Canis lupus familiaris: one gene and its partners. The protein of the gene in region 5 interacts with the protein of the main gene of each other region in a pairwise test. Links are inferred from orthologs where the notes say so. Each region holds a gene or a part of one and is shown on either strand. Other genes may lie near its edges.

The links.
Region 1: the proteins of CARD9 (region 5) and TRIM23 interact in binary tests that used the Homo sapiens proteins (3 or more experiments, as listed by UniProt). The two-hybrid records come from large-scale screens. The link is inferred for Canis lupus familiaris from reciprocal best matches to the Homo sapiens genes CARD9 and TRIM23.
Region 2: the proteins of CARD9 (region 5) and PPP1R18 interact in binary tests that used the Homo sapiens proteins (3 or more experiments, as listed by UniProt). The two-hybrid records come from large-scale screens. The link is inferred for Canis lupus familiaris from reciprocal best matches to the Homo sapiens genes CARD9 and PPP1R18.
Region 3: the proteins of CARD9 (region 5) and KIAA0408 interact in a two-hybrid assay, tested with the Homo sapiens proteins (2 studies listed by BioGRID and IntAct). The two-hybrid records come from large-scale screens. The link is inferred for Canis lupus familiaris from reciprocal best matches to the Homo sapiens genes CARD9 and KIAA0408.
Region 4: the proteins of CARD9 (region 5) and TCEANC interact in binary tests that used the Homo sapiens proteins (3 or more experiments, as listed by UniProt). The two-hybrid records come from large-scale screens. The link is inferred for Canis lupus familiaris from reciprocal best matches to the Homo sapiens genes CARD9 and TCEANC.
Region 6: the proteins of CARD9 (region 5) and PAK5 interact in binary tests that used the Homo sapiens proteins (3 or more experiments, as listed by UniProt). The two-hybrid records come from large-scale screens. The link is inferred for Canis lupus familiaris from reciprocal best matches to the Homo sapiens genes CARD9 and PAK5.
Region 7: the proteins of CARD9 (region 5) and CDCA7L interact in binary tests that used the Homo sapiens proteins (3 or more experiments, as listed by UniProt). The link is inferred for Canis lupus familiaris from reciprocal best matches to the Homo sapiens genes CARD9 and CDCA7L.

The regions. Positions count from the first base shown.
Region 1 is NC_049223.1:50,579,116-50,582,939, forward strand, and holds part of TRIM23 (E3 ubiquitin-protein ligase TRIM23), read right to left. Parts: intron 2,536-3,824; coding exon 2,257-2,535; intron 1,253-2,256; coding exon 1,070-1,252; intron 1-1,069.
Region 2 is NC_049233.1:625,173-629,563, forward strand, and holds the start of PPP1R18 (phostensin), read right to left. Parts: upstream 3,062-4,391; 5' UTR 2,928-3,061; intron 2,138-2,927; 5' UTR 2,105-2,137; coding exon 494-2,104; intron 1-493. Other genes in the region: NRM (nurim), read right to left, coding at 3,803-3,834, 4,295-4,391.
Region 3 is NC_049222.1:66,692,944-66,696,748, forward strand, and holds part of KIAA0408 (uncharacterized protein KIAA0408 homolog), read right to left. Parts: intron 3,559-3,805; coding exon 2,676-3,558; intron 2,604-2,675; coding exon 2,415-2,603; intron 1-2,414.
Region 4 is NC_049260.1:10,112,859-10,117,372, reverse strand, and holds the start of TCEANC (transcription elongation factor A N-terminal and central domain-containing protein), read right to left. Parts: upstream 3,035-4,514; 5' UTR 2,932-3,034; intron 603-2,931; exon of another isoform or gene 602-602; 5' UTR 475-601; intron 1-474.
Region 5 is NC_049230.1:49,108,723-49,113,041, reverse strand, and holds the start of CARD9 (caspase recruitment domain-containing protein 9), read right to left. Parts: upstream 2,873-4,319; 5' UTR 1,413-2,872; intron 178-1,412; 5' UTR 177-177; coding exon 1-176. UniProt on the Homo sapiens protein: Adapter protein that plays a key role in innate immune response against fungi by forming signaling complexes downstream of C-type lectin receptors.
Region 6 is NC_049245.1:13,105,082-13,108,905, reverse strand, and holds part of PAK5 (serine/threonine-protein kinase PAK 5), read right to left. Parts: intron 1,286-3,824; coding exon 794-1,285; intron 1-793.
Region 7 is NC_049235.1:35,878,607-35,883,124, forward strand, and holds the start of CDCA7L (cell division cycle-associated 7-like protein), read right to left. Parts: upstream 3,072-4,518; 5' UTR 3,028-3,071; coding exon 2,980-3,027; intron 1,809-2,979; coding exon 1,668-1,808; intron 1-1,667. UniProt on the Homo sapiens protein: Plays a role in transcriptional regulation as a repressor that inhibits monoamine oxidase A (MAOA) activity and gene expression by binding to the promoter.

The DNA of each region.
Region 1 (3,824 bases), on a different chromosome or scaffold from region 5:
TAAAAAAGCCAGTCCGTAACTATCCCCTTAGTTCCTTCCTTCTCTTTACAGCTAAATTTCTTAAAAGTTAAACACACTCACTTCCCAACACCCACTTACTCTTCAATTCACTGGAGGGTATCATCCCCATTATTTCACAGATCTAAGAAATTCAATACCTTAATTAAATTATTACCTTGGCCCTATTACCCCTCTCCAAATTCTTCCTCCTCCCCCACTAGTGCATGAAATCACCATCCACTAACCTGAGCAAGATAAAAATCTAGGCAACATGCCAGACCCTTCAAGTTATTTATACAATCAATATTATCAATCACTAAGACCTACCTATTCCACTACTTTAAAATCTCATGCCCATCTACTTCTCTCCATTCTCACTACTGTAGTATTAAAGGCCATAAACATTTCTCAATCAGATAATTTCAGCAGCCTCCTGTTAATAGGTCTCCCTGCTTCCAATTCATTTTCTACATTGAAGAGCTACCTTTCTTAATACAAATCTGATTATTTTATTCCTATGCTAATTTTTCAACTACTCATCACTACCCTTGTTATAAAGTCTAAACTCTTTAATGTGGCTAACAAGATCCTACGTGATTTGGCCCTTCACTCTCTTAACAATTTTTCTCGCCAGGCCCCATCCAATACTCAAAGTTCCAAGTGGACTGAACGGAGTTGTTTCAATACTACGTCGAATTCTCACTTCCAGGCATTTAACATACTCTTTCCTCAGTGGGACAACTCACTCCCACCCTACTTTTCTCACTGACTACATATTCTTCAAGTCTCAGTTTGGTACCCTGTATTCTAGGAAGCCTTCCCTGACTCAGCAAATTAATGTTCTTCTTATGCATTGCCAAGGCATCCTATACTTCAGTTACAAAAAAAAGTTGCCACACTTGAAACTTTTTTCTACAACAGACTATAAATTCCATGAAGACTGAGACTTTTTAAAAAACTTATTTTCAGTGACTAGTGCAGTACTAGCACAATGTAATTGCTCAATAAAAATAAAAGGTTAGAGGTAAAAAGGGTAAAAATATAAAGAAAGAAGAAAAAAAGTCCTTACATGTTCTGTGTGAGCCATTCCAATTCCATCTTCTACTATTTGTTCTCCTCCTTCAATGTGCTGAACGATTCCAACTAATTTTCTGGAATAATCTGAAATTTCCTCAGTGAAGGTCCGTATGCAATGAGCCATATCTAAAATTGATGCTCGGATCTGGTTAGCTTCTGGTTCCAATACTGAATGCTAAAGTGCAACAAAATTATAGAAAAGAACTCACAGTAATGACTAATGACATAAAATGCTATTTAAATCACTCCAATGATAAAAAAAAAAAAGAGAGAGAAGCATCAACCACAAATGGCTTTTATAACACATATATAAAAAGCACAAGATAACAAATACTAATTTACCTTCACCCCAAAACTATTTATCCTTCAAAGAAATAATTTAGAATTTGGGAATCCATTTATTGTTAAATAACAGTCCAAGATGGGGCACCTGCGTGGCTCAGTTGGTTAAGCATCCAACTCTAGGTTTCAGCTCAGGTTTGTGAGATCTCAGGTTTGTGAGTTCCAGCCCCATATCCTTGCCCCCATCAGGCTCCATACTGGGCATGAAACCCACTTAAGATTCTCTCTCTCGGGGTGCCCGGGTAGCAGAGTGGGTTAAGCCTCTGACTCTTGGTTGCATTTCAGGTTGTGATCTCAGGGTCATGGATGGAGCGCCACATCTGGCTCTGTGCTCAGCACAGTCTGCTAAAGTTTCTCTCCCCCTCTTCCTCAGTCCCTCCCCCCACCATGTTCCCTTTCTTTCTCTAAAATAAATAAATATTAAAAAAGATATTCTCTCTCCCTACCCATCCACCCTCTCCCTCTCCTTCCCTCCCTCCCTTTAAAAAAAAAAGAATCCAAGAGACTCACTTTATAATTTTACCATAAACATCAGTTCATCAACAGACATAAATATTATCAACACAATCCAGTACATTATAAAAACATGCACACATAGAAATTTTGTTTCCTTCTGGAAAGCTATTCTTTAGTGAATAAAAAATCATAAAGCCTCTCTGAAATTTTTGTTATGACATTCAGAAATTAAATCTTTCATTTCTTTTCACGCTACCAAACTCAATTCATTCATCACTGAACTCTTCTTCAATCCCTACTTGGCATAAAGAACCAGATCAATGGAAACAAATGGTAGGCTGGTAAACTAGATAGAGTCATCCAGTCTAATTATATTCATACCTTGTGACCTTGGTGTTTTCCATATTCTTTGCAGACACAGCACATAAGTGGGCTAGTTTGACAGCCTTCTTCCAAGCAAACAAACTCAATGGCATGTACCTGATGCTGAGAGCACATGGTTTTCTCATGAGGTTTATCAGCTAGAGGTACTCGTCTGTGTTTTGCTAATGTCTTTGTAGAATGAGTAACTTGAGAACACTCTGAGCACAAATGAGTTGCACATACAGTGCAATATACAGACGCAACGTGAGCTTCATCTTCATCGCAACGAATGATGCTCTAATAAACAAAAAATTAATGTCTTCAAACTGAACCTCAATCACTGGAACATGACAAATTTTAAAATATAAAAGCCCAGAATCTTTTCTGACTGACCAAGCTTTATATATGAAATACTGGTAATTAAGTAAAAAGGTCATTTACAATTCATCTAATAAAGTATTCATTTCTATAGGAAAGTGATAAGCTATTTCCAAAATTGATTATCAATATATGCTATGAATTTGAGGCCAAAAATAAAACTGTTCTCAGAGATACACAGTGTAAAGATATCTTCCACGGAGTCCTTTAATTTTACATAAAAGAAATTGAACAATAAAGGCTGGAAATCTTTTTAGGACTAAAAAAACTGATAACAAATATATCCCCACTGCTTTATTTTTTTTTAAGATTTTATTTTTAAGTAATGTCTACACCCAAAGTGGGGCTCAAACTTAAAACCCTGAGGTCAAGAGTTCCATGATCTACTGAGATAGCCACGTACCCCTGACAACTGCTTTAAATACTACTTAACACAGAGATACATAGAAAAAAAGAGAAATCCAAATGTTATTTTGAGACGATGTGTAGACAAGAATCAGCTACAAAGTTTTTAAAAATATAGATGCCCAGACTCTAACCTAGGAAATACCTATTCCAATAGGCTTAGAAGCCTGAGCTGGGTTTTTTTTTTAACTCCACAGGTGAGCTCACTGCACAATCCTGGCTGAAAAAGCACTGAGTTAACCAAATAAAAAATAAATAAAATCTATGTTGTATATAAGCTTTTAAATATTATTTCTAATTTTCATGAATTACAAAAAGCATTCAAATTAAAAAACTTTACATGTTAGATAATCAAGAATGTTTTGAAACTTACGCTTAATAAAGGACCATAACTGGAAAGGGAGAAACTTGGAATAAATTGTTCCAGAAATAAAAATTAGAAAATATATCAATGGTGTCATTTAATATCACATTAAATTAAGAAATTAAAAAAAATAAAATAAATTTAAAAATAAATTTTAAAAAGTAAATTAAGAAATGAACTCAAAGGTAAACATTTTTACTTGCAATTTTGAGAAACACATACACATAAAACTAAAAATTCATGTCTTCTGTTTTCCAGACATGAAAAATAATTTACAAGGTCAATATTAGACAATATTCTAATGTCTTTTGAAAGATAAAGATATAGCACATGAAAGAACTACAAACATTTTAGAAAACAGTGCTCCCCACAACTCTGTGGTCAACTAATATTCAACAAAGCAGGAGAGAATAGCCAATGGAAAAAACACAGTCCCTTC
Region 2 (4,391 bases), on a different chromosome or scaffold from region 5:
AACCCCAAAGCCACCCGCTGTGCCTCTTCAGGCTTCCTGCCCCAACATCCTCTTCCCTGGAAGGCTGTATGTGCTTTCAACCTGATGACCCTGCTCCCATAGATTCTAGGCTGGAGCCTCAGTCTGACTCTCCCACCAGGAGGGCTGGGTTTGGCACGGCTCAGAGGAAGGGAAGAAATGGGGCGGCCCAGGGGAGGGGGAGCTGAAGGGGCAGGGAGGAAGGACCCAGAGCCCGAGGGTGAAGAGTGAGCAGCCTGGGCACACCCTGGGAGACACACCCAGGGACAGCACTTGATTTGGGACAGAACCCTTGGGCTTGGAAATGAATGGAAAATGAGGGCTACAACAAGAAGGAAGGGTGTGCATAGAGGAGGAAGGGTAGTGGCAGGAATTAACAAGAAAGAATAGAGGAAGACAAGAATACAGGGCTATAAAAAAGAAAGGAGGCCAGAGAGAGCTGAGGCTTCTGAGAAGTCTGAGGGCTGCTCCCTACCTGTTTGTGGTGCCTTTCGGGGGACCCCTTGACAAGGCAGCTGCGGCTGAGGCGGAGGTAGCCCCCCAGAACCAAGATCTCCTCCGCAGTCGGGTACCGCTTCTTCCCAACTCCAGGAACTGCAACATCAGCCGCGGCTGGGGTGGCGGGAGTGCTGGGGGCTGCTGGGGGCACAGACCGCCGGGGGTTGACTGTGAAGGTGTGTCCACTGCGGCGAGGGGTCCCCACCCCTGGCCCTGCCTTCACCCCATAGAACAGACGGTTCATGAGGGGATCCCCAGGGGACTGGGGAGCAGGTGGGGCTGGGGGTAGGGGAAACAGAGGGGCTGTTGGTGGGGGCCGGAGATCCACCGCTTCCTCTTCCTGCCTCGTAGAGCCTTTAGTCCCAGCGTCCTCTGGTGGGAAGGGGGAGGGCACAGAGCTACAGTTCTGCAGGGTTCTCAGAGGCCTGCTCAGAGCCCCTGCCTTCTCCTTCTCAGCCTCCCCTTCTCCAGCCTCTGTACCAAGAGGCCCCAGATACTTCTCAGCAGCCTCTGGGGGTTTCTGAGGTTGAGTCTCTGTGTCCCTGGGTGTCCGTTCTCGAACCTTTCCAGAGTTCAGGGTCCATTTCCAGCCTTCTGTCAGCCTCAGGCCCCTCTCACTATCCTCCACAGGGCCGGGCCTTTGCTCTGCTGCCTCCACCTCTCCAGAGCTGCTCTCTGGAGCCTCCCTTGTCAGGGTCTCTGACACCTTTGTAATCTCTTCTGAGGCCAGTGTTGGAATTGGTCTCTCTTCTTTTCTCCTACATTCCTCCAAACAGTCTTTTCTTTCTTCTTCTGAGCTGGGCCTCCACCCTGATGCCTCCCGTTGTACCAAACTCTGTTCCTGAGACTCTCCAGAGTCGGGCCTCCATTTATGGGACTCTGACAGCTCCAACTTCTGGTTGTCAGATTCTGCGGGGCTCAGTCTACTTTCCACCACCTCTTTTCTCCTGGGGCTTTGTTCTGCAGGCTCTGCCAGTCTCAGACTCCACTCTGGAGTTTCTCCAGGGCTCAGCCTCCATTTCCGTGCCTCTGACAGTCTAGAGCTCCTGTCTCCAGACTCTCCTGGGCTCTGCCTCCAGTCCCAAGCCTCTGAAGTTCTGGGGCTCAACTCTCGGGCTCCCCCTATCCCCAACTTCCTCTCTCTGGCCTCCCTGGGACTGAGCCGCTCTTCTTTTGAGTCTCTTCCCTTGGGGCTCTGATCTCGAATTTCCCCAGGACTGGGTCTCCTCTCCCGGGCCTCCAAAGGCCCAGGCCTTCTCTCTGCAAGTAACTCTTCATTGCGCTGCTGCTGCTGCTGCTGCTGGCGCTCCTGCCGAATGAATCGGTTCTGGTGCACCGGCCCAATGGCTTCTAGGAGGACAGCCGACTCATCTGGGTCTGGAGGTCCAGCCTCTGTAGTCCCAGGGGCAGGGCTAGGTTCTCCAGGAGACAGACCAAGCTTGGCCCGGCGGCGCTCCAGGATTCCCCGCTTCCAGGCTGGCATCTGGGACAGACGATCCCGCTCAGCCTTCTCCCGGCCACGAAGGGCCGCCTCCTCCTGCCGCCGTCGGGCCAGCAGCTGTAGCTTCCAGTCCGGGATGGTAGCCATGGTCGCGCGGAGGTAGGGGTGGGAAGTGCTGGGCTAGAGAACAGGAAAGAGAGGCTCCAGAGGTCCTGGGGGTAGGGGGAGGGGAAGCAGAGGGGCAGAGGAGGGACACCGAGATGGGCCCAGGCCCGGGAGGGGAAGAGTGAGAAGATGGAGGGCAAAGTAACGGGGAAACAGAAAGTGAAAAAGCAGTGGGCCCGGCGGAGGTGGCGTCGCGGCCCTGAGAGGAAGAATAGAGATTCAGGGCGAGGAGACAGCAGTCAGAATTGGCAGCGCGGGGTTCATGGTATCGGGGAGGCCCGAGGATGTGAGCGGAGAGAAGGGCGGAAAAGGAGTCGTAACGAGGGAGGCGAGAGCCCGGAGCGGCCGGGGAGCGGGGGCGGGGGCGGCGCGAGGAGGAGGACCAGGCCGGGTTTCCCCACCGCCGCCCCAGAGGCGGGGGGCGGGGGGGGCGGGGAGGGGTCCGGGAGTCCCGCCGGGAGGGAGCCGGGACTGGAGCGGCGTCGGGGAGCCGGGAGGAGCCGGCGTCCGGGGAGGCAGCGGGGCGCGGGGCGCGGGTGCGCCCACCCCGGGGCTCCCGGAACCCCGGCGCCCGCCCCCGCCCCTCCTGCGGCAGCCCCCGGCCCGGGCCGCGCCCCGGCTCCGCGCCCCGGCTCTGCCGCCAGGCCCGGCTCCCGGCTCAGCGGCCCCGCGGAGCCCGCCGTCCCCCCGGCTCGGGGCGCACCGACAGGCAACCGCGGCTCGACGGGAGGAGCCCGAGGTCCGCGCCGGGGCGGGCGGCGCGAGACACCCCCGCCCCGAGGCCGCAGCCCCGCAGCCGACTCACACGCGCGGGGCTCCCACGGGAGGGGTGCGGAGGAGCAGGCGTCCGAGGGAGGAGGAGTGGGACCGAGGGAGAGCCGGAGACGCGGGCGGGGAGGCGGGAGGGTGACCGCGACCCGGGGCCGGGCGGGGGGCGGCGACCGCTTTGTCTGAGGACAATGGGGAGGGAAGGGGGCGCGGGCGGGGCGGCGCGGGGCGGGGCGGGGCGGGGCGGGGCCGGCTCCCGAGCCCGCGCGTGGGCCCCGCCTCCCCGGCTCCCCTTCTCGCGCCCGAGCCCCGGCCCGGCCCGGCCCTCCTGCCGCGAGCCCCGGAGAACGCAGGTGTCCAGGCCCTGGCCCCCGCCCCGCCCGCCCCGCCCGCCGCGCCCGCCGCGACTCAGGCCCCTCGAGGGACTCGCAGAGGAAGCAGCCGCTGCCCCGGCCGGGCCCGCCCCTCCCCAGGCGGTGGCCTCTCCCGGCCAGCCTGCGTCACTGCGGGGTCCCGGGCGGCCACCCGGAGACGTACTCGGAAGCCCACGGCTTTGGTAACTGGCCCCCACGACAGCCGCTGCCCAGTCTTTAGCTTCAGCCCGCGTCCCATGGGTCCCGGTCCACGGCGGGGGAACTGGGGACTTGGAGGAAGGGGGCTGGGCCTCGGGGGTGTGCCCGAGGGGCCGCCGCCCAGCGGTCGCCAGAGGGCGCGGTGGCCGTCCGGACTCGACTTCGGCGTGCCTGGGCTCTGCTGGCCTTCCTTCCAAAGTCAGCCCTCTAGTTAGAGACACACTGATGGACTGCATGCCATATGTAGAAAAAACGGGCTGAATTTTATTTTTCCGCCGCAGACGTTCCTCGGGAGGGCAGAGATCTCTTAGTCACCAACATGAAGGGCGGGAGGATCCTCTCAGGTTAGAGGACAGAGCCCAGGGCCAGCGCCTAAGGAGGGGCAAGGCCTAAGGAGGGGCTAGGTGAGTCAGCAGAGCTGGCATTACCATCAAACCTGCAGACCCTGATCCTACTCCTAGGAAGGGAAGCCTGAGGGGGAGAAGGGGATCCCTGAGGTGTAGAAGGGAGCAACAGTGGGAGGGAAGTGGGCAGGCCCACCCTTCTTCCTTAGAAGGACTGTTCTTAAGGTGGGGTGGAGGTGGGTCAAGGCCTAAACTGTGAGGAAATACTGAAGTTCCCCACCCTTCCTCCGTGGTTTGGTGAGAAGTAGATCTTGGGGTCCAGTGGTTGAAATTCAGGATTAGGGTATGGAGCTGGGCCCAAGGAGTGGAGGCTCAAACAGGGGAAGGGATGGCCCCTTCAGTCCATAGATTTGGGCCTCTGGTCTGAAGCAGCCAGAGCCCAGATGTTAAAGGGCTTGGGACCAGGTTAGCTCCTCACTCGGCCTCACCTTCCTGGGGCCGGGAGAGCAAGTGCAGTTTTCTTTGTAACTGGGCCCGGAGGTAGCGGAGGTCTTGCTGGTCAAGCCCATGAGCCAGGCCCAGGTA
Region 3 (3,805 bases), on a different chromosome or scaffold from region 5:
GACCCCTCCTAAACCTCCAAACAAAGCAAAAATGTAGCTCATGAATATTTAGCTGGTTATTTTATACATGTTTCCACTTGCCATCTGAAGCGATACGGCCTCCTAAGTATTCATGGACTCAACTAAAATACAGAAAAATACAAAACCAGGGTAATTATTTGTACCCTGTGCAAAAAGGCAAAGTTTCTAGTGAAATGGATAAAACTGGTATTTTTATGCGGTTTGAAAGCCACGATATTTTTTTTTACATCAGAAGGAGGCAACCCGCACAGCTTAAAACTATGCTGCATACACACTGCATTTTGCAACAGTAGGATTTTTCGACGTATTAGTTAATTGTGATAATATGTCACCATGCAACGTTTTGTAAATTATGCATTAAAAGGGATCATTGGGTGGTTCTTTATTGCAAACATCAATCTCTTCGACATCTTTTTCTCCTATAACAAATGAAGATTGTATTCTTTTGCAAACAGACCAGACCAAAAAAAGAACAACAAAAAATGAATACTTACTTTTGGGGAGGGCAATTTTCAGGCTAAGAATTCACACAAGAATGGCCTTAAAAAATTTTAAGCTATAATATCATTTTATTCCCATGTGCTGCCTTTCTGCTCCACAAATAAGAGAACTTTATGAGGCATTATTTTATGATGTGTTAGACCTACAGTCACATATGTGTGACTAATCCCCACGAGAAAGAACACGAATCAGATGCCAGGAATGACTGAACCAATCGTAGCCAACAACTGAAAAGTGCAAGAAGTTATTTTTAAGGTTTCCAACACTCTTTAAAAACAGGGCAGCCAGGGTGGTTCAGGGGTTTAGCGCCGCCTGCAGCCCAGGGCCTGACCCTGGAGACCTGGGATCAAGTCCCACGTCTGGCTCCCTGCATGGGGCCTACTTCTCCCTCTGCCTGTGTCTCTGCCTCTCTCTCTGTGTCTTTCATGGATAAATAAATAAAATCTTAAAAAAATAAAAGTATAAGCACCAAAAGAATAGGATGCTATAGACCAATAACGCTCATTTGGAATGGTTTTTGTTTGTTTGGAACATTTTCTTCCAGAGAGAAACTTACAACAGACATCTGACCTGGAAGTTCCCGAGTCCATTTATTTACATCGTCCCATTTCAGAATCCTTAAAAAAGTTATCATGTCCTATTCCCAGTCTTAAAAGAAGACTTTAAGAATTTGATGGTGATTTTAAGAATTGATGGGGTGTTAGAGTCCTAAGGTCTATACTTAATCACAAATAAAGGGTCAAGAAGTTAAGAACGTCTGGAGGGCGCTGGGCTAGCCCCTGGGCGGCGGCCGGCAGTTCCGAGGGCTTTGGGCAGGTGCTCCTCATCCCCCTGGCCGGCGGCCCGCGGGGCTGGCCTGGGCCCGAGCACCTGCTGCACCCGAGGCAGCCCCGCCCTGGGAATCCCCACCCCAGGCATTCCCCCCCACCCCGGGCATCCCCGCCCCAGGCACCGCCCCCCCCCCCCAGGCATCCCCGCCGAGGCATCCCCGCAGCTTCCCCCGCCCCAGGCATCCCCGCCCCCCCCAGGTATTCCCCCCTGGGCATCCCCGCACCCGGCACCCCCCACCCCGTCCGCATCCCCACCCCCCCGGCATCCTCGCCCCCCCCAGCCCCCCAGGCATCCCCGCCAAGGCATCCTCTCCCCGGGCATCCCCACCCTGGGCATCCCCGCCCCAGGCATTCCCCCCCTGAGGCATTCCCCCCCCGGGCATCCCCACACCCGGCACCGCCCCTCCGCCCGCATCCCGGCTCCAAGCATCCCCGCACCCGTCATCCCCGTTCCTCCAGGCATCCCTGCCCGGGCAACCCACCAATCCCCCCCCCCACCCCCGGCATCCCCGACCCCCCAGGCATCCCCGCCCCGGGCATCCCCGCCCCGGGCATCCCCCCCAGGGATCCTCGCGTCCCCACCCCCGCATCCCCCGCATCCCTGTCCCCCGCCTCCCCGTCCGTCTGAGGCATCCCCGCCCCTGGCATCTACATCCCGCCCCCGCCCCTCATCCCTGCCCCGCACCCCCGCCCCGGGCACCCCCCCCCCCATCCGCATCCGCACCCCGGGCATCCCCGCCCCGGGCATCACCCTCGCCAGGCATCCCCGCTCCCCCAGGCATCTCCGCCTGAGCATCCTACCCCCGGGCATCCCCCTCCCCCTCCCCGGGCATTCCCGCCCTGGGCATCCCCGCACTTGGCATCCTCCCCCCCCCCCCACCCCCGGCATCCCTCTACCCCCCTCGGGCATTCCCGCCCCAGGCATCCCTCCCCCCGCATCCCCGCCCCAGGCATCCCCCTCCACATCCCCGCATCCCCGGCCCAGGCATCTCCCCCCACCGGCCCCTACCCCCCCGCCCCCCGCATCCCCGGCCCCCGCCCTACCGTGGTCCCGCCCCTGACCTCAGTGCCGCCTGCGGCCCACCGGCCCGTGGGGTGGCCTCCGTCTCCCTCCGTCTCCTCCCGGAGGCCCTGGGGACCCGGCGAGGCGGCCGGAGCGGCAGCCCCGTGGCCTCGGAGCAGCCTTTCCACGACGCCGTAGTTGGAGCGGGGGTCGGCGGAGCGCGGGCGGCCGGCCAGGCTGCGGGGCCCCCAGGCGCGCGGGAGCAGCGGGCGGCGGGGGCCGGGGCCGGGGCCGGGGCGGGGGCCGGGGCGGTCGGGCACCTGCGCCCCGGGCACGGGCCCCTGGGCACCGGCGGGCCGACCCCCGGACGCCTCGTCACCCCCCGCGGCCCCCGGGGCGGTGGGTCCGGGCCCCCCGGGGGGTGGCCGGTGGCTCGGCGGGGGCTGCGCTGCCCGGCAGTTCCGATCCGTTCTAAACACGATTCGGTTAAATTCATCGGTCTTGGCGGCCAGCTTCTCATTCCTGGTGGTCCTGAAGCCACAGCGGAGACCCCGAAGCGGGCCACTGCCCTCGGTGGCCGCGGAGCCAAGGTCGTCGGGGCGAGAGGCGGCCGGGCCACCTGGGGCCAGCGCCTCCCAGCTCTCGGGACAGCAGGATGCAGAGGGACCATTCTGTGCGGCGACCCCACCGCCACCACGCCAGCCGCCCAGCCCAACACGGTCCTCACATGCAGGCTTGTCCTCTATCTTGGCTTTGGGCGCCAGAGAAGGAAACACGATGCCACCTTGCAGGGCCTGCCCTTCATTTGCTCCCAGCCCAGGCGCCGCCCGGGGCCTCCGAAGGATGTCAGGACCACGGCCCCTTCCACCGTGACCCTCCGGGGCCACCAGGCTGCTGCGGCCTAAACCTCCCTTCAGACTCCCAGGAGCTCGTTCTGCACAGGAGCTGGGAAAGTTTCGGGATGTGCTTCTCGGAGGAGGAAGCGGTGGAGCTTCATTTCTCTGCAGATCGGTCGTACCCAGTTCACCCTTTTTCCTAGCCCCGCTCAGGGGTACATCGGTGCAGCTTAGATTCTTTCCGTGTTCCTGCGTTTGCTTTTCCGAGTTGATTGCAAGAATGCCCTGGCCATCGCTGATCATGTGGTCTCCGCGAGGCATGTTCGTTACACGTGGCATTTCCTGCAGGAAAGAATCTGACTTCATCCTAAACAATTATAAAACACGGTATATTAGCAATCGTTTTATTTAGGACGAGTTCTCAAAAGAAACCACGCTTAGGCAATGAACTTCTGCTATAAGAACAGGACTCCCAACTTCCTCCAACAGCATTTTCATGTAACTTCTCTAAGTCAAAACCTCCAAGTCCTTTTTTACTGTAGGATAAAGCCTACCTCTCAGTGTGGCACTCACAGCTCACCTGCTCTGACCCAAACTCTCTTTCCCTGATGTTC
Region 4 (4,514 bases), on a different chromosome or scaffold from region 5:
TCCCTGAGCTAAGCCTAATTCTCACCACGAGTGGCATCAGGCCTGACCATAAACCTCAATCATCTGGAGAAATTAAACAGCAAAAACAAAAACAATGCCAGGGCCTTGTCCCAGAAAGAATGGATGGGAATCCCTGAGGGTAGGCCTGGCTATTTTCTCAGCTGCCCAAGTGACTCTGATTTAAAGCAGAGCTGCTGCCACTGCTCTATACACATACTAGCACAAGGCCCTCCTGCTACAGGACCGACTCAGTTACACTGCCATCAGCCCAAAGACAGCTCCTGACCTGCTCCTCCAGTGAATGTATAGAACTTCCCTGCTTTTGGATTTTGCTGACTGAGCCCCATTAGGAAATATTAAAAACACCTCCTGTGCACAGCTCACCTGAGACTCTTCTCTACAATTATAACTGGTGGTTGCAATGTCTTAAGCGTCACGATGCACCCAGTTCCCCGGACTTATTCCCTCCCTTACCTCTTAACAGCAGAAGGCAATGTACATTTATTGAACTGTACGTGCCACACACATTTATGTCATCTCCATCCTTGCGATGACCCCAAGTCAGGTATGTGGCTTATCTCCATCTTCCAGATGAGGAAGCCTGTTAAAAAAAAAAATCATAAAAATTTTTTTAAATTTAAAAACGTCTTTAAAAAAATCAAATATTTGTGATGGCTTTTCACTGTGCAGACTACATTAAAATTATTTTTTTAAAGATTCTCCTTAATCACAAGAGACACACAGAGAGCGACCCAGAGACACAGGCAGAGGGAGAAGCAGGCTCCCTGCGTGGAGACCGATGCAGGACTCGATCCCAGGACCCCAGGATCATGCCCTGAGCCGAAGGCAGACACTCAACCACTGAGCCACCCAGGCGTCCCTAAAATGTTTTTTATTGTCTGCTTTCCCCACAAGACCATAAGAGAATGATGTCTGTTTCATTCACGGAGACACGCCCAGCAGACACCTGGCCAGTTCTTACTATTACTCAACAAATTCTTATTAAATGAGAAAAGAGGATCCAGAATGCTTCCTCTCCTCTCTGCTTGTACGCCCCATTCTTTTTTTTTTTTCAAGATTTTTTATTTATTTGGGGTGGAGCACAACCAGAGGGGAGGGGCAGAGGCAGAGGGAGAAGCAGACACACCCCTGAGCAGGGAGCCTGACGCGTGGCTGGATCCCAGGACCTCAAGAGCATGACCTGAGCCAAAGGCAGATGCCTAACTGACTGAGCCACCCAGGCGCCCCTGTACACTTCATTCTTTCCACTACAGACCAGCTTGCTCGTACCCACTGCACCTAAGCTCACTGCCCCTCAGCTTCTTCCACATGAGCCAACCTCATCTCAATTCTAGTTCGAAAAGTTATGTAAAAGACAAAACAAAAAGGAGTAGCAGCAGTAGCAGCAGCAGCACCATGGTGCCCACTGTGGGTTGAGTGGACTGCAGAGATCAAGCTTGTGGGGATAAGAAGGGTCAAGAAGCTAGAGTTCACAGAAGCCGAGGGGCGTTGAGCATGTTCCGTAAGTTTCTTGATGATTCTGTGCCTCAGTTTCTTCATCTACAAAACTGGGGAAATTCCGCATCTTAGGCTTAATATGGGAAATAAATGAGATAGTCCTTATAAAGTCCTTAGAGCCATGCCTGTCACACAGTAAGCCTACATGACAATTACACAGGACTATAATTAAAAGATTCACGTGACATGGATCTCCATGGCAGGCACTGTTGTACAGAACTTTGTTGTTTGTTGGCGAACTTCTTCTGGAAAAGGCCAGATAGTAAATACTGTAAGCTGTGCAGGCCATCCAGTCTCTGTATGGACTACTCAAGTCTGCTGCTCTGGTAGCAGGAACAGCAGCCATAGACGACACATAAAAGAATGAGTATGGCTTTGCTCCAATGTTTTTCAAAGACAGGTAGGCTGGATTTGGCTGTAGGCCACAGTTTGCTGAGCCCTTTTAAAGCAGTGCTATCCAACAGAAATACAATGCAAGCCACAGATAAAATTTAAAATTTTCTAGTACCCACGTTAAAAAAATAAACAAGTGAAGGTTACAGCATGTTACCTAACCAGTGTATCCAAAATACTGCCACTTCAACATGTAATTAATAAAAACAAATTGTTGATATTTTACATTCTCTTTTTCATACTTATTTCCCCCAAATTCGCTGTTTGACACTCTGACGCATCTCAATTAGGACCAGGAACATTTCAAGTGCTCCATGTAGCTCGTGGTTACCTATGGGACAACACAGTTCTAGAGCATATGCTAATACAGATAACGCTTACGTGCACACCTATTGCCCCAGCTTCTGAATATACATGAAAATGAGTCTATGCCGGGCGGGCAGGTGCAGGCCCTACATATCTGTGGACTGAATGCATAGAAAAGCTTGTTAATATTAACTAATATGGGCACGCTGCACACATCTGCACACATCTGGCTTAATCCCCGGGGGACACGAGCGATCAAAGAGAAATTTTGTTTCTAGTCATAACCCACGCACAGCTCTGCAGCTACACAGGGGAGCCCCTTCCCCCAGGGAGAGAACCGATGCCAAACGCTGGGTCGGGGCGCCGCGGTTTCCGAACAGCCACGCAACACTGCGCTAGTGTCCCTTCGTGTTAGGACGCCCCCCGGCACAGGTGCAGAGGGCGGAAGGGAGCAGCGCAAGGGCCCGCGGGGGCTCGGGTTCGGGAGAGGGGCGCGGGCCGCCAGCTCGGAGGCGGCGGCGGCCCCCGGGGATCCGCCCACCCCAGCGACGTCAGCCCGAGAAGAGGCGCGAGGGCGCTACAGGGCCCGCCCGCCCCGGGACGCACCGCGGCCCCCCGCGCCCTCCCGGAGCAGCGGTGAGCGTCCCCGAACAGGGGTGCGCGTCCCCGAGCGCCGCCGGGCACACACACGCGACAACCTAGAGCGTCGCTCACCGAGAAGCGCACACGCCCGGGAATCTCCGGAGACGTCGGCGCCGGGACAGAGCTTCCGGCACGCGGGGCGGGGCCACCGAGGCTCCACCAATCCGAGGCCGGCGGCTGGAGACCGCAGGCCGGGCGCATGCGTGCTGGGTACGTGGCGTCTGCGCAGAGGGACCGGCGGCCGTCAAGCCCGCGCCGCCGCTCGCTGTGGGGCGGCCCCGGGCGTGGCGGGCGACGTGGCCCCGGGGCCTCCTGAGTTGAAGGCAGCTGCCCCCAGGAGCGTTTTTCAGCTGCGAAGTGTGTTGAACTAACTCCACGGCGTACGCTTTGTGCTTTCAGTCAAGGCAGTGCTCAGCTGAAAGGTTGACAAAACGGTGGCCGGATGCGATTGATTTCATGCAGTAATTAATTAACAAGTATGTATTGCAGCCCTAGCCCGCGTCCCTTGGTAAGGAAGTACTGAACATTCACCAGGTGGCCGTGGCACCGCTCATCCGGACACATCCTCTCCCTGCAACGGTCCGATAAAATCAAAGCGACGGTAAAACTCGGGGCTTTAGTTTCAAACGGCTATTACTGCCGCACGATGGTTTCTATCACAACTAAGTGAGACACCAATGAATCTAATTGGTCGAGCAGGGACGCTCCATAGGGTATAACAAGAAACTCATTTTTTCTCACCGCTGCTCTGTTGGCTCTCCTGCCCCTTGGCTGCTCCAGGGCTGGAGCTTGAGCAAACCGCGCAGCTTTCCCGGTCACTTTCAGGTTCAATGAAACAATTTGATGAGTGTTGTGGGTTGAATGGTGCCCCGGCCCCCAAGATAGATACAGCCACTTCCTAAATCTGCCTCCCCCAAACCTATCCAGACAACTTTACTTGGGAAAAAATGGGGGGGGGGGGGCTTTGTAAATATAATTAAGGATCTGAAGATGAGACCATCCTGGATCACTGGGTTGGGCCCCAAATCCAACGAGAGACAATCCTTGTAAGAGAAGACAAGACACTGGAGTTGAGTGAAGGTCATGTGAAGACAAAGGTGGACATTTGACTCTAAACAGACCTGTATTACCATCCCTTCCTCCTGCTGCCCTTACCCTGGAGAAACCAGAAAATAGTGCAGAAAGTGTGCAATAGGAGAGTGAAGAACTTAATCCACATAACGTTCCCTTTGCTCTTCCACAGAGTTACAGGTCACACCTGAACTGAGAGGGAGCCAGAGCTTTGAATTGGATGACTGATTGAAGTTTCCATATTAGATTAGGCTGGCTTTTTTAACCATCTAGTAATAAGATAAACTTCTAGAATTCTAACAGCCCTCTCCCACTCTTGCCTTCTCCTATACACGAGCTGAAGGGGGGTGAGGAACCACAGGACGCAGAAGTAGTTTCGGGCTCTCCACCTAGCCTGTACGGATGGTACACTGTGTCTCTTTAGAACCAGAGGACACTCAGCCCTATGCTCAACTTTGGGGCCCTGGGCAAAACCCTGAGTCAAGAGAAGTCTCATTTAACACCCCCTTCTACCTGCCGTAATCTGGGGTCATTTCCATACGGCTTATTCTTTTCCACGCCGTTGGTCCCTCTTGCTCATTTCT
Region 5 (4,319 bases):
TTCAGCACCTTGCATTGCCTCAGGTAGGGCGTGATGCGCGAGGGGTCGATGACGGAGATGAGCTTCACTCGGAAGCTCTCCAGGGTACTCCAGCACTGGTCTTCGTTCTCATAGTCTGACATGGTGGCGGCCACCGCTGCGATTGGTGGGAGAGCAGCTGGCAGGGACAGTTGCATGCTGGGCCCAGGGGAGTCCAGGACAGGTAGGTGTGAAGCCTCACCCGCCCTGGCCCTCCCTCCTCTGCGCTGGTGCTCTGACCGGGGCACCAGCTCAGCCAGGGCAGCCCTCCCGGCCTTCTCTAGACCCTGCAGCCACTCCCTCAGCAGGTGACCTAGGCTTTCTCTGTCCAAGTCACCCTGATAAGTGTGAGGGAAGATGTGGAGGCGCTTCAGGGACTGGCGGCATCTGAGAATACCCCCCCCCCCACTGTGGCCTTGTTCTGGCCTCTGCACCCCCATCCCTAAAGCGTGAGTCTGGCAGACCACCACCTCGTACCCACTGGCAGGGCCTCCCTGGCAGGTACAGGGAGGTAGGCGCCCAGGCTGGGGAGGCACGCCTGGGGCATTGACCTGCCCACGTACACGCCAGCCTGTGCTGCTGTAGGACTTCCTCCTTCTTGGACATGGCTCCTGCTCAGGGCCTAGCCCCACCGCCTCCTCTCTTTCCGGCGGCTGGCTGGTGGTGCAACAGTGGCCCAGGCACCGGCTGGCTCAGGAAGGGCAGCTGTGGACCGCTGCACCAGGAGGGGCCCAGCTGCATTGGCATGGCCAGCACCCACGCCGCTCCTGTGCCCTCTGCAGACTCCTAGGGACCAGGCACCAGCCACCTCTGGGCTCCTCTCCCTGTTCCTGGGCACGCAGGGTGCCAGCTCCCTGACCAGGGCCATCCGTGTTGGGACTACCCACTGCTGCTCCCTTCCACTGGCGGGCACAGACCACGCTCGAGGCCTGGGCCAAACCAGGAGCCTCCTCCCAGTGGTGGGGACAGAGACCCTGACTTGCCACCTCAGACTGCCCTCAGCCAGCGTAGGAACTGTGGGCGGAGGTTTGCCACCCAGAGGAGCTAGGCCATACTCCCAGAGACAGACGGCAGCAGGCAGGGCCTCTGGAGGAGCTTCCTGAACTTCCTGCAGCCCTTGGCCACACCATCCAGCCAGAGAGACACCAGCAACTCAGTGGATGGCCCTTGGAACGTTCAGCCCGCTTCCTGCCTTTCCCACCTACATCCACAGGTCCCACACCTGACCCCTGCCTCTAATTCCACCGAGCTGAACAAGCAGGTCTCAGGTGGCTGTGAAGGACAGGGCAGGAGTGGAGGCCCTGGGTGCTCTTCTGGGGTATGTGCCCCAGGAGCCCTGAGCAGAGAGATGGGTGTCTTCCTGGCCACCCTGAGAGGGCAGCCAACCAGCCTACCTCAGGGTCCTCGAGAGGCACCTGTGCAGTGGACACTGGTCAGCCCAGGCTGGCCTGATCCGATGAACAGGAGGTGCTGCTGGCAGCCCAGTGGAGCTCAGGAGGAAAAGCTGTGCACTTCCTGATGGTGCTGCTCAGCTCCACAGAGCCGGGAAGGTCCTCCCAGAGGGAGTGGGTCCTTGGGCCTGCCTTCTGATTCGCCCGCCTGGCAGGGCCCAAGAGGCGGGGCAGAGGGAAGTGGAAGTCCTGCTCAGAGGCCTGGAGGCCCACCCCTGGCATCCACTAAGTGGAAGTGTGAGCAAGGACCCTCCCCGGAGCTGGATGAGGCCAATGCACTGTCTAGTCCGCTCTGGCCTGAACGCAGGCTTCTGGAGGCTTCTCCACCAGGGGCTGGCTGGGAACCTGCAGCGTGGGCCCTCTGCAAAGTGCAGGAGATCCCAGGGCTTCAGGCCTAACTCTGGGATTTCAGCCAGATGCCCACACACACAGTAGGCCAGCCGGGCCTTGATCACATGAGGGCTGGTGTAGCGTCCAGAAGGCATGTGGCTGGAGACCCCACTGTGGCCTGTCCGTGCTTGCCCCACATGGCCACCGGCCCCTGCTACACTGCACACCCTATCCCTTCCTGGGAGTGTCTCCACTTAGCAACCTCTTTACTAGGACACTCGGGACTGTGACAGCAGGCTCCCAGGCCACTCATCATGGCCCCGCAAACCAGTTTCAGAAGGGCTGTTTCTGCCATCAGAGCTGCACCCAATAGCCAGGATAGCAGGCCTCCAGACCAGGGTCTGCCAGGAAACCCCCAGGCCAAGGCCTCACTGGCGCAGCTGGGCCGGTTGGTCCAAGTTGTTGGCTGCCAGGCTGAGGCAATTGCTAGGGAAAGGCCAGGATGGTCCTGAGCAGGGCTCCCAGCCCCACCTTCCCATGGCAGCTGCCTCTTGCCTGACAGGCTCCCCGCCTGTAGGCTCTCGGACCTCTGACCCTGGGTGGATGGAGGCTGCCATCGCGCTTCCAGAACAGCCAGTCCTGGGCCCTCCAGGAGCTATGACCAGCAGTGTTTCCCTGCTCTGCAAAAGCAAATTAATAAAGGGTGTCTCCCCCACGGGGGTGTTGGTAAGAATTCAATGACAGAAATGTTCTGTTCTCTGTATCAAAAGCCAGAAATCAATAACAAAAGGCTAACTGGAGAATCCCTAAACGTTTGAAAATAAAATAAGAGACCTCTAACTAGCCATAGGTCTAAAGGAGCCCCCAAGGAAAGCAGAAACGAGCTGAAAAAGCCCCAGGTGCAAACTGAAAAGCTAAGAGCTTGTGCATGAGGCTGCACGGTGGTGGGTCAGCCCCCTGGTGGGTGGGTACAGCACCCCAGGGCATGCTCACACCTGGAGAGCACAGGCATGAAGCCTCTAGAACCAAGCACCTCAAAAGGCTGCACACCAAAGCCAAGGCTGTGCACCGCGTCCCTCAGAGCACCAAGGGTGCTGGGGCTTGGCCTCCCACCAAGAAGCAGCTGCTCAGGAGGAAGGCAATGCCGGCCTGGGGCCGCTGCGTGACTTGTGGGCAGGCGGGCAGCCGCTGGTTCCAGATGCCTGCCTGGGTCGGCGGTGTGGTCAGGAAGGCAGTGAGGCAGGTCCACCCCATTCCCTGTGGCCCCACCAAGGCAGCAGCTGCCTGGTAGCTCTTGGCAGGCCCTGGGGCTTGAGCCACAAGCGTGTTCTGTGCAAAGGGCACTCCCCACGTCCTACACGGTGGCCCGGAGCTCAGGGGGTTCCTCAGACCTCAGGGCCCAGCCATCCGGGTCCTGGCACGGTCAGGGGAGCCCCAACCCTCTGCCCAGTCTCTTAAGGCAACAAGAATCTGGGGCTTGCCTTTTAATAAAAAAATAAGCCATTCACTTTATTCCTTCAAACATTCCTTCCGATTTGTGCTGGAGGACTAGCCAAGCCCCAGTGGCTTCACGGTCACACGGCGAAGCCTCCCCCAGCCTCCAACTGCTTTAGGCTGCTTCCTCCGGGAGGGTTGGAGCTGGGCTCCACAGGCAGGTGGGCTCACTGGGGTCCAGCATGGCTCCCGCCTCCTGGAACACAGAGATGCCCAGATGGTGGGGACACCCTGACCCCAGCCAGACCCCAGAGATGGTGCTGTAGGATAGGAACCAAAGGTGGCATTAGGCCTCCTCCGAGGGCGCAGAACCGGGTCTGGCTGCCCACCTGCAGTCCATGCAGGGGGCCATGCTGAGGGCAGGCCCTAGAGCCTGGGTGGGCTTCTGATGCCCCCACCCCCACCCCCAGCATCCCCTCTGTGGACCCTCTCAGGGCGCAGCCCCACTACACTCGCAGGAGCTGGCTCCCACCTCTGTAGACCAGACATCTTCCCCCACATGGGATCTCTGCACCATGAACTCAACTAATCCGTACTGAGGGCCTACTTGATGCCTGCTCTCTGGGCACTGAGGACCCGGCAGCAAAAACCAAATCATATCACCGCCCTTAAGGGCTCACGTTTATGGCAGACACGCATGTAAACCATGTCGGGTGTAGAAGAGACAGTGCTAGCAAGACAGACATTGACAGTGGTACTGCCCCAAGAGAACAGGCAGAGAGAGCATCTCTGAACAGCCAAACACTGAGCAGACATGATTGGGATAAGGGAACAAGCCTTACAGACATGGACGAAGGCCAGGCAGAGGGGACAGCAGTGCAAAGGCCCCGAGGCACACGTGGGTCAGCAAGAAGGAAGCACCAGAGCCTGGAGTGTGCAACCCAGTGGGCGAGGGTGTAGCTAGGGGAGAGGGATTACATGGCCCTCCCCACAAACGGCTCCCATAGGCCTGTATAACCCTCCCCATCACACTTGATGTGAGCTCCTAAGGGCGATGATAGTCTGCCCCACATCTGGAAAGCTGTG
Region 6 (3,824 bases), on a different chromosome or scaffold from region 5:
TGAAAGTAAGTTTACCCTCACTGGTAATAATAGTGTTAATTAAAGCAGGAAGATTTGTTCATGTCTATCAGATTAACAGAGATAACATGACAGTATCCAGTGCTAGTGAGGATGATACAGGTCTATCAGTGAGGGTCTTTACTGTTACAAACTTTCTGGAAGCCAGTATTACATATTACTTTTTCTAAAGAGAAAAAAATATAGAAGGAAACTCCTGAAATATTAATGTAGGCTATTTTTCGGTTGTGAGATTTTGGGATATTTTCTCTATCTTCCATATTTTCCACAGGAAGAATTCATTATTCCTATAGTTAGAAAATGTATCTTAAAGTTCCTAAAGAGTGATAATCCATTGGTAAACCAACTTCTGTTTATTGAGATTAAAAATAATGGCTACAGAGGGTATACATGGTATCACAACCATGTAACAAAATGTATATATACCCATGTAGATAGTGTAGCATAAGGCTCTGGAATCTGCTAGAATTCAAATCCCAGCTCTGCCATCAACCTGGTGTATGACCCTGGGCTTGATAATGTCTGTCTCACAGGTTTGTTGTGTGAATCAAGCCAGATCAGAGCTTAGCACAGTGGTTGATTTGTATGAAGTACTTTATAAAAGTAGCAGCTGTACACATACAGACCAAGTCCAGAAGGAAGGATTATGGGAACATTATTTTTGTATTTCTATTGTCAGTGCTTTCTGATGTTCTGAGCTGTACATGTAATATTTTTGAAATAGGGAAATACATGTTACTTGGGAGAGAAAGAGTGATCCGAACACACCATCTACCTCATTAAAAAGCAGTTCTCGTCTCTGTTGCTTTCGGAGGTCCATCTTCTTCACTGCGACTTGTTTCCCTGTGTGTTTCTCAGTTGCAATGCATACAATGCCGGTTGACCCTTCTCCGATTTTGATAAAGTTGTCCAAGTATTCCCTGGGGTCTCCTGGGCTGACCACCAACTGCAAAGCAGCCCGAAACTGTTCATGGGACACCCTGGAGGGCTGCTGGTCTGAAGAGGATCCCCAGCTGGGTGGGGGGTAGGTGCTGGATGAGATACTCAGAGAGCTCAGGTAAGAAGCTGTAGAGATGTACTGTGAACTGGTCTGCAGGGAGGGGTGGTGGTACAGGGTGGCTTTGTGGTACCCAGATGGGTACTGGTGGCTGCTTGAGGAATAGCCCGCTTTGCTTTGACTTTGAGGTAGTTTGGCGGGGCCCCTGGGGTAGGTGTCAGACCCTGACAGCGGAGGGCTGAGGACCATCTGTGCTCGATCATAATCCACCTGGGAAGACAGACACAGATGGAGAAATATCACATGCTAGATCTGAATGCTGCAGTCAGCGAGCCAATTGAATCAACCTATAGCTGGCCTGAATGAAGAGGACCATACACAACATAGTTGTGGGTGATGCTTACCTTGTGAGGTCCCAGATGGCTCCTGCTTCCATCCTTTACCTACCCTACAACCTCCCTATTTAGTCTATTTCTTCCCTTTTCTTTACTCAAATCCCCAGAAGCAGACGATGAGACCTGAATTTAAATGCAACTGGTGGGAGGTGATCCCAGGAGTTATGAGGTGAGACAAGGAAGGGGAACATCAATAAAGGGCAAGTCATAGAGTATGATGGTTAATTTTATGTGTTAACTTGGCTAGGCTATGGTATCTGGTTGTTTGGTCAACAATATTCTGGGAAGGTATTTTTTAAAGATGTGCTTAACATTTAAATCAGTAGATTTTGAGCAAAGCAGATTGCTCTCCATGAAGTGGGTGGGCTGCATCTAATCAGATGAAGGCTTTACATGAAAAGACTGATGTCATCCATAGAGAGACTCTCTCTGTGTACACAAACACACCCCCTACTGGTCATCTTTTTGGTAAGCCCCAATATGCCACAGCAAGTTACCAATGAAGCAATTGTAATCTAATCCCACCAGCTAACTCTGTACCCTGGGAGACTATATTAAGCATATACCTTGAAGTTGTCCCATCTGAGGGGCCAAAAGATGGAGTATTTATGCACCAGATCCCTTCAAAACACTGTTTAACATCTGCTTCCATGAATATTAATTTCCTGGCACTCCTGATTTGCCTTATCCTGGGCTGACTAGCCTCCAGCAGATAGAGAAACCTTTTAGACCAGAATTTCTCAGCATTGGCACCACTGATTTTGGGGGCTAGATAATTCTCTGATGTGGCCAACTGTCCTGTGTGTTGCAGGATGTTTAGCAGCATCACTAGATTCTACCTACTAGATGCCAGTAGCAGCCACTTTGCCAGTTATGACCAAAAATGTTTCTTGAGATGTTGCTAAATATTCCCAGAATATGGGCAAAATTGCTCTTGGCTGAAAACTACTGCTTTAGACAAAGGAAAGCAGTGATGGCAGACAGAAACAATACGTGATGAAGGGATATGGTTGGGGCACCAATTATACCCACTGCTCCTAGGAAAGGGCCTTCTCCTACTCATGTGAAACACAGGGAGAGTTTTAATTAAAAAGTGCCTTATGCCAAAAAAAAAAAAATCTGCCTTATCCAAGGTGTACTTGGTGTATAGGCTCTGTTTTCCTTTGCAGGAATAAAAGATCCCATTTGTCATTAAAGGATGTTAGTCTTCAGTGAGAAATTTCAGGGGCAGAATGCCTTTCCCCATGCTTGTGAATTCATATACTAGAAGGGGGATATGTATTATCCACACGCATAACCTAGCAGATACATGTAAAAGGGAAAATACGGCTCTGCTAAGCAGCTTTTCAGTATGGACCATAAGGTAAACACATGCAATGTTCTCACCAAATAAGCAGAAATATAATTGAGAGTTGTCAAATTTTGCAGGAGTGTGTGTGTGAAAGGGAATTTGATCATCCCTCAAAAGGATTCCAGCAAAGAACATTCTACTTTAGTTTTGAAGACTAGATTCAGGGAACTCAGTGGAGAATAGGGACAGCAGAAAGAGCAGGGATGGGGGAAGTCAGCGGGAGTTTTGTACAACACTAGGTGTACATTCCAGCAATCACTCCCTGGGAGGAATCAGGGAGGACCTCTGACTAGCTCTGGAACAACTGAGGTCAGGTATGGTAAATATACCACATCATAACGTCTTCACCTCCTTGCCCAGGACAGAATACATTAATCAATCACTGCACCCTTGTGTGATATCCTGATGATGACACAGTGCTGGGTACACCGAAAGTGCTCAAAAAAGATTTTTTATTGGACTTTAGGCTCCTTCTTAACACAGCACCCTGGGAAGTCTCTACACTCTACTGGGATGTACATGAAATGACATGTACATGCCCCCATACCCCATCTAAGGATCTAGATCTACTCTAGTATGGTGGGTACTGACCACATGTAGCTACTTAATTGAAATCAATAAAAAATTAAATTAACTCAATTCCTTTGTCATAGAAGTCCCATTTTAAGTATCCAATAGCCATCACATTGGACAGCATAGATATACAACATCTCCATCATTGCAGAAAGTTCTGTTGGGTGAAGGAAATCCATTGCTCCCATGTAGTATACTCATGAATTTGTTTTGTCCACAAGTTAATTTTTGAGCCACTATTATGTGATAGGCACCTTTTCAGGTGCCATGGGAAGGTCCAGCAATAATATAAATGGACGGTATTTCTGCCCTTCTGGGGTTTACATTCTAGAGAGGGAGACACACAATAAACAAGAAAACCAATAAATGTACAGTATGCAGTCCAGTAGTAACAGAGATATGAAGGAAAATAGAGCAAAGGGTTTAAGATTAATGAGATGCCATCTTGGATGTGGTCGTCAAGGAAGTTCTCTTTTTTTAAAAAAGATTT
Region 7 (4,518 bases), on a different chromosome or scaffold from region 5:
ACTGGAAGCCTAGACCTCCCACTCACCTTCACACACTTCACCCGTCTCCCCACACCTCACCCATCTCTCCAACTCCTCCCTGCTAGCAACCATCAGTCTATTCTCTGTATTTATAGGTCTGATTCGGCTTTTTATCTATTTTATTTTTTAGATTCCACGTGAGTGAGATCATATGGTATTTGTCTTTCTCAGACTTACTTCACTTAGCTTAACACCCTCTAGGTCCTTCCATGTTGCGGCAAATGGCAAAAACCTCATCCTTTTCATGGCTGCATTAATATTCCACTGAACACATATTTAGCATCTTCCTTATCCATTCTTCTATTGATGGACACTTAGGCTGCTTCCCTATCTAATCATCAGGAAAACGCCCATCAAAACCACAATGAGGTATCCCCTCACACCTGTCAGAATGGCTAAAATAAAAGACAACAAACAAGTGTTGGTGAGGATGTGGAGAGAAAGGAAGCCTCACATACCACTGGTGTAAACGCACACTGGTACAGCCACTGTGGAAAACAGTAGTAGGGAGGATCCTCAAAAAATTAAAAATAGAACTACCTTACGATCCAGTAATTTCACTAGCGAGTATTTACGCAAAGAAAACCAGAACACTAATTTGACACTTACGTTTATTCCAGCATTGTTTACAACAGCCAAGATATGGAAGCTGTTTTGTTTCTGGATGCCCACTGCACTGCTGGGCTCCAGGCTCAGCTCTTCACACACATGCTGCGCTGCTCAGAATGCCCCTCACGGCGGGTCCACGGGCTCTACTCTCCCTCACTGCCTGACCATGCTCAAATGGTTTCTGAGTAAGGCAAAGCTCACGGCCAGACCTTAGTGCTGTAACTAAGGTAAGGGCCATGAGCATCAGGGGAGCTGCAGGAGGAGGCTGGAACACACAGGCAGCCAAGTGATCAAGCAGGCACTTACACTGTATCATAAAGTGCTTCTAGAACCTCCTACACTTGCCCAGTTGAAGCAAGGTGGGTTTAATTTACAGCCTCTTGAGAGAGGCTACGGTCCAGGGAGAATGAAGAATTTTGAGAGCCACAATGAATGCAGAAGAAAATGCTACAGAAAGCTAGCTATTTCGACTGGCCATACCACTGCTAAGGCATAATATAAACCTCCAGGAAACTAACTCTCAGAGAAACGTAATTTGTGTTTGCCAGAGATCAAAGTAATCCAAGAAAGAATAAGGCTCTCCCCGGCAATTCCAAGAGTAGGGTGTCAATGGAAACCCGCTATAGGAGCACAGGGACACGACTGTCTCGTGGTAACCACACGTTCCTGCACGGCACTGCGGTGTGGACGGTGGCTGTGCAGGACCACCTCTCCCCTCCCAGCCACATGGGAGCACTCTGAATACAGCCTGGACACAGGCTGCAAGCCCTGAGGTTACAAAGGAAATAGATCTGATCATGTGAGGCCCTCTTTATTAAAAAAAAAAAAAAAAAACTATTATAGAAAGGGCTTAAACAGTAAAAGTGATCTAGGTAGCCTCATTGGTTCTTAAAACATGAAGCAAAACACTTATAAAATAAAATGCTCGACAATTAACTGCTATCACCAATCTCAGACCATATTCAAATAAAAGAATATCTGAACCAAGATCCAGGCTTCCAGAAGACCGTGCCTTCCATGAAAGGAAGCATCTGTACCTGTTTCCCTGATTCCAGTGAGTCAAAACTATCACAGCTCTCCTCTGATGAGAGGGTTTCCATGGGAACATCATCTCGGAAACCGACAAACTCTTCATCATCACTGGGGGCGTTAAAGATGTCAGCCACTTCTTTAGGGATCTGTTTTGGATTCAAAAAAGAAGAAGGATAAGACCGAGGGCTGTTATAATCACTTAGGGAAATTTTCTAGAAAGGAGGAGGGATTAGCATCTACTAGCTCTATCAATCTACTAGGTCGCAGATCTGCCATGGTCACCAAGAAGACCCCAGTTACCCCGGAGCAAAATGTGCTTCAGCTGATCCCTCATGGCAACAAAAGAAGGTAGGGGAGGGAAAGATTAGACTGTTTTTCAAACTCTAGAGATATATCCTATCTTACAGAGAATGTCAAGGCCATATCTAGATGGAAACCCTATGTGATCTCTACACAAAAAATAAAGGAACAGTCATCATTTGTGAGAAAACAACTATTTTTCTCCTGCAGTGGATCTGTCTTTAAATGTCATCCATGTCGGGATCCCTGGGTGGCGCAGCGGTTTGGCGCCTGCCTTTGGCCCAGGGCACGATCCTGGAGACCCGGGATCGAATCCCACGTTGGGCTCCCGGTGCATGGAGCCTGCTTCTCCCTCTGCCTGTGTCTCTGCCTCTCTCTCTCTATCATAAATAAATAAAAATTAAAAAAAAGAAAATCTTTAAATGTCATCCATGTCAAAATAAGATGATACTAATAAGCTCCTCTTTTCCTCATTTCCACCTATTGGTCTTTGATTTTTTTGCTCTTTGTCATCTGCTGATTCAGACATGAAAACTCATACATTGAAATAAGTAGCTTTGTTGCTCCTTTTTTTCCTCTCAATCAAGTAGTTTCAAAATTAATTTCAAGAGAATGTAAACACTACTGTAGGCAAGTATTCCAAGAAGGAATGTTATCAGCGCTCTTAATCTAACAAGTATGTATGTATTAGTTCAGAATTCATTTTCATATGCTGACTACCTATTTGTTCCCAACTCTCTATTTTGAACAAGTTCAAAACCATAGAAAGCGGGCAGCCCTGGTGGCGCAGCAGTTTAGTGCCGCCTGCAGCCTAGGGCATGATCCTAGAGACCCTGGATCAAGTCCCACGTTAGGCTCTCTGCATGGTGCCTGCTTCTCCCTCTGCCTGTGTCTCTGCCTCTCTCTCTCTCTCTCTCTCTCTCTCTCTGTGTCTCTATGAACAAATAAAAAATCTTAAAAAAAAAAAAAAAACATGGAAAGCTGAAGGAATAGGACAACCATCTACATATTCTTTACCTGGAGTCCCCATGTGTCACCACCTTTGCTTTCTCTGTCAACAAACATTAAGTGGAACCATCAGCATTTGCTAGTATTTCACAGTTTTTGACCTAAAGAAATAGCCATTTATTTAGTACGAGCCAGCTTATTCCACCTATATTTAAATTGCAGACATCATACTAATTCACCCTCAAATACTTCAGCACACATCGCCTGAAAATAAAAACATTCCCCATTCCCCTTAGATCCGTAAAACTACAATCATACCTAAAATAATTCACATTAATTCAATAGTATCATTCAATACAAGCTCATATTTAAATGTCTACAACTGTCCCAAAATGTCTTTTTTAACTTTAAGGGGGCTAAAGGGACCCATTCAAGCAAAGATCATGCATTTTATTTTTTTTATGACACTGTTTTTTGCTGCTTTTCGTAACACTGATATTACTTAAATAACCCAAGACTACTGCCTTGTTGAATGTCATACGTTCTGAGTTTATCTCATTGGTCACTGATATACTTTACTGAAATATTTTTGGCAACAATTCTATACAGATGACATGCACTTCTCAATGCAATGCATAAGGAGGCACAAAATAACAAGTTATCCCCTAGTAGTGTTTTTTAACGTAATTATGAAATTTTTCAAACATAATCCCAAGTAGGTAGAACAGCATAGTGAACACACACAGGGACCAGCTATCAAGCAGTCCTGCGCCCATGGCTAGTCTTGCTCCAGCTGTATCCCTATCCAACTGCCCTCCTTCCAAATTATTCTGAAGCAACTGAAGATAATAGCATTTCACCCTGTGTCATCAGGAAATACATAGTCTGTCTTCACAGTTCCGTCAACCTATTTTTTTTTTTTTAAACTCACGGTTTATTTGTATCATGATTTGAATAAGGTCCATACATTGATCAACAGAAAAGTCTTTTCTTATGGATCCTTTTTTTTTTTTTCCTTTGGCAACTTATTTTTTTAAAAAACTGGGTCCTTTCACTGTGAGGTTTGCGAGAGTCTGGAAGGTTGGGGTTTTTGTTTGTTTTTTGCAGCTGCAAGATGGTATTTAGTAGACTCCAACATCTCCTGGGATTTCCTGTGATTCGGTATTTAGAGTTACAGGCTGTCAGATTCAAGTTCACTTCTTTCTGGCAAGATGACTACTTCATAGGTAGTGCTGCATTCTTTACTCAGAAAGCACCTAATGTCTGGCCATCTCTGGTCTTCAGTGGTGATGCTCTCTGATCAAGTTACGGCAGGATGTGTCATATTTCTCCTTAGCAAAAAGACCTTTTCCTCTTTGTATTTAGTAAGAAATAAGTAGGGTGATAGTTGACCTTCTGGGATTATCCTTCCCTGGTTAATTGGTGATTAACCAATTCACTGAGTGGTTTCAGCATCCACTGATAGATAACTCTTATTTGAATCAATTACCACACATTAGCGATTGTACAATGGTCGTTTTCAAATTCTATTCGTTCTTCATGTATTAGCTGGCATTCTTCTCCAACACAATATTCTCTCTTTTGCTGTCTCTCCCTCCCTCTGCTTCT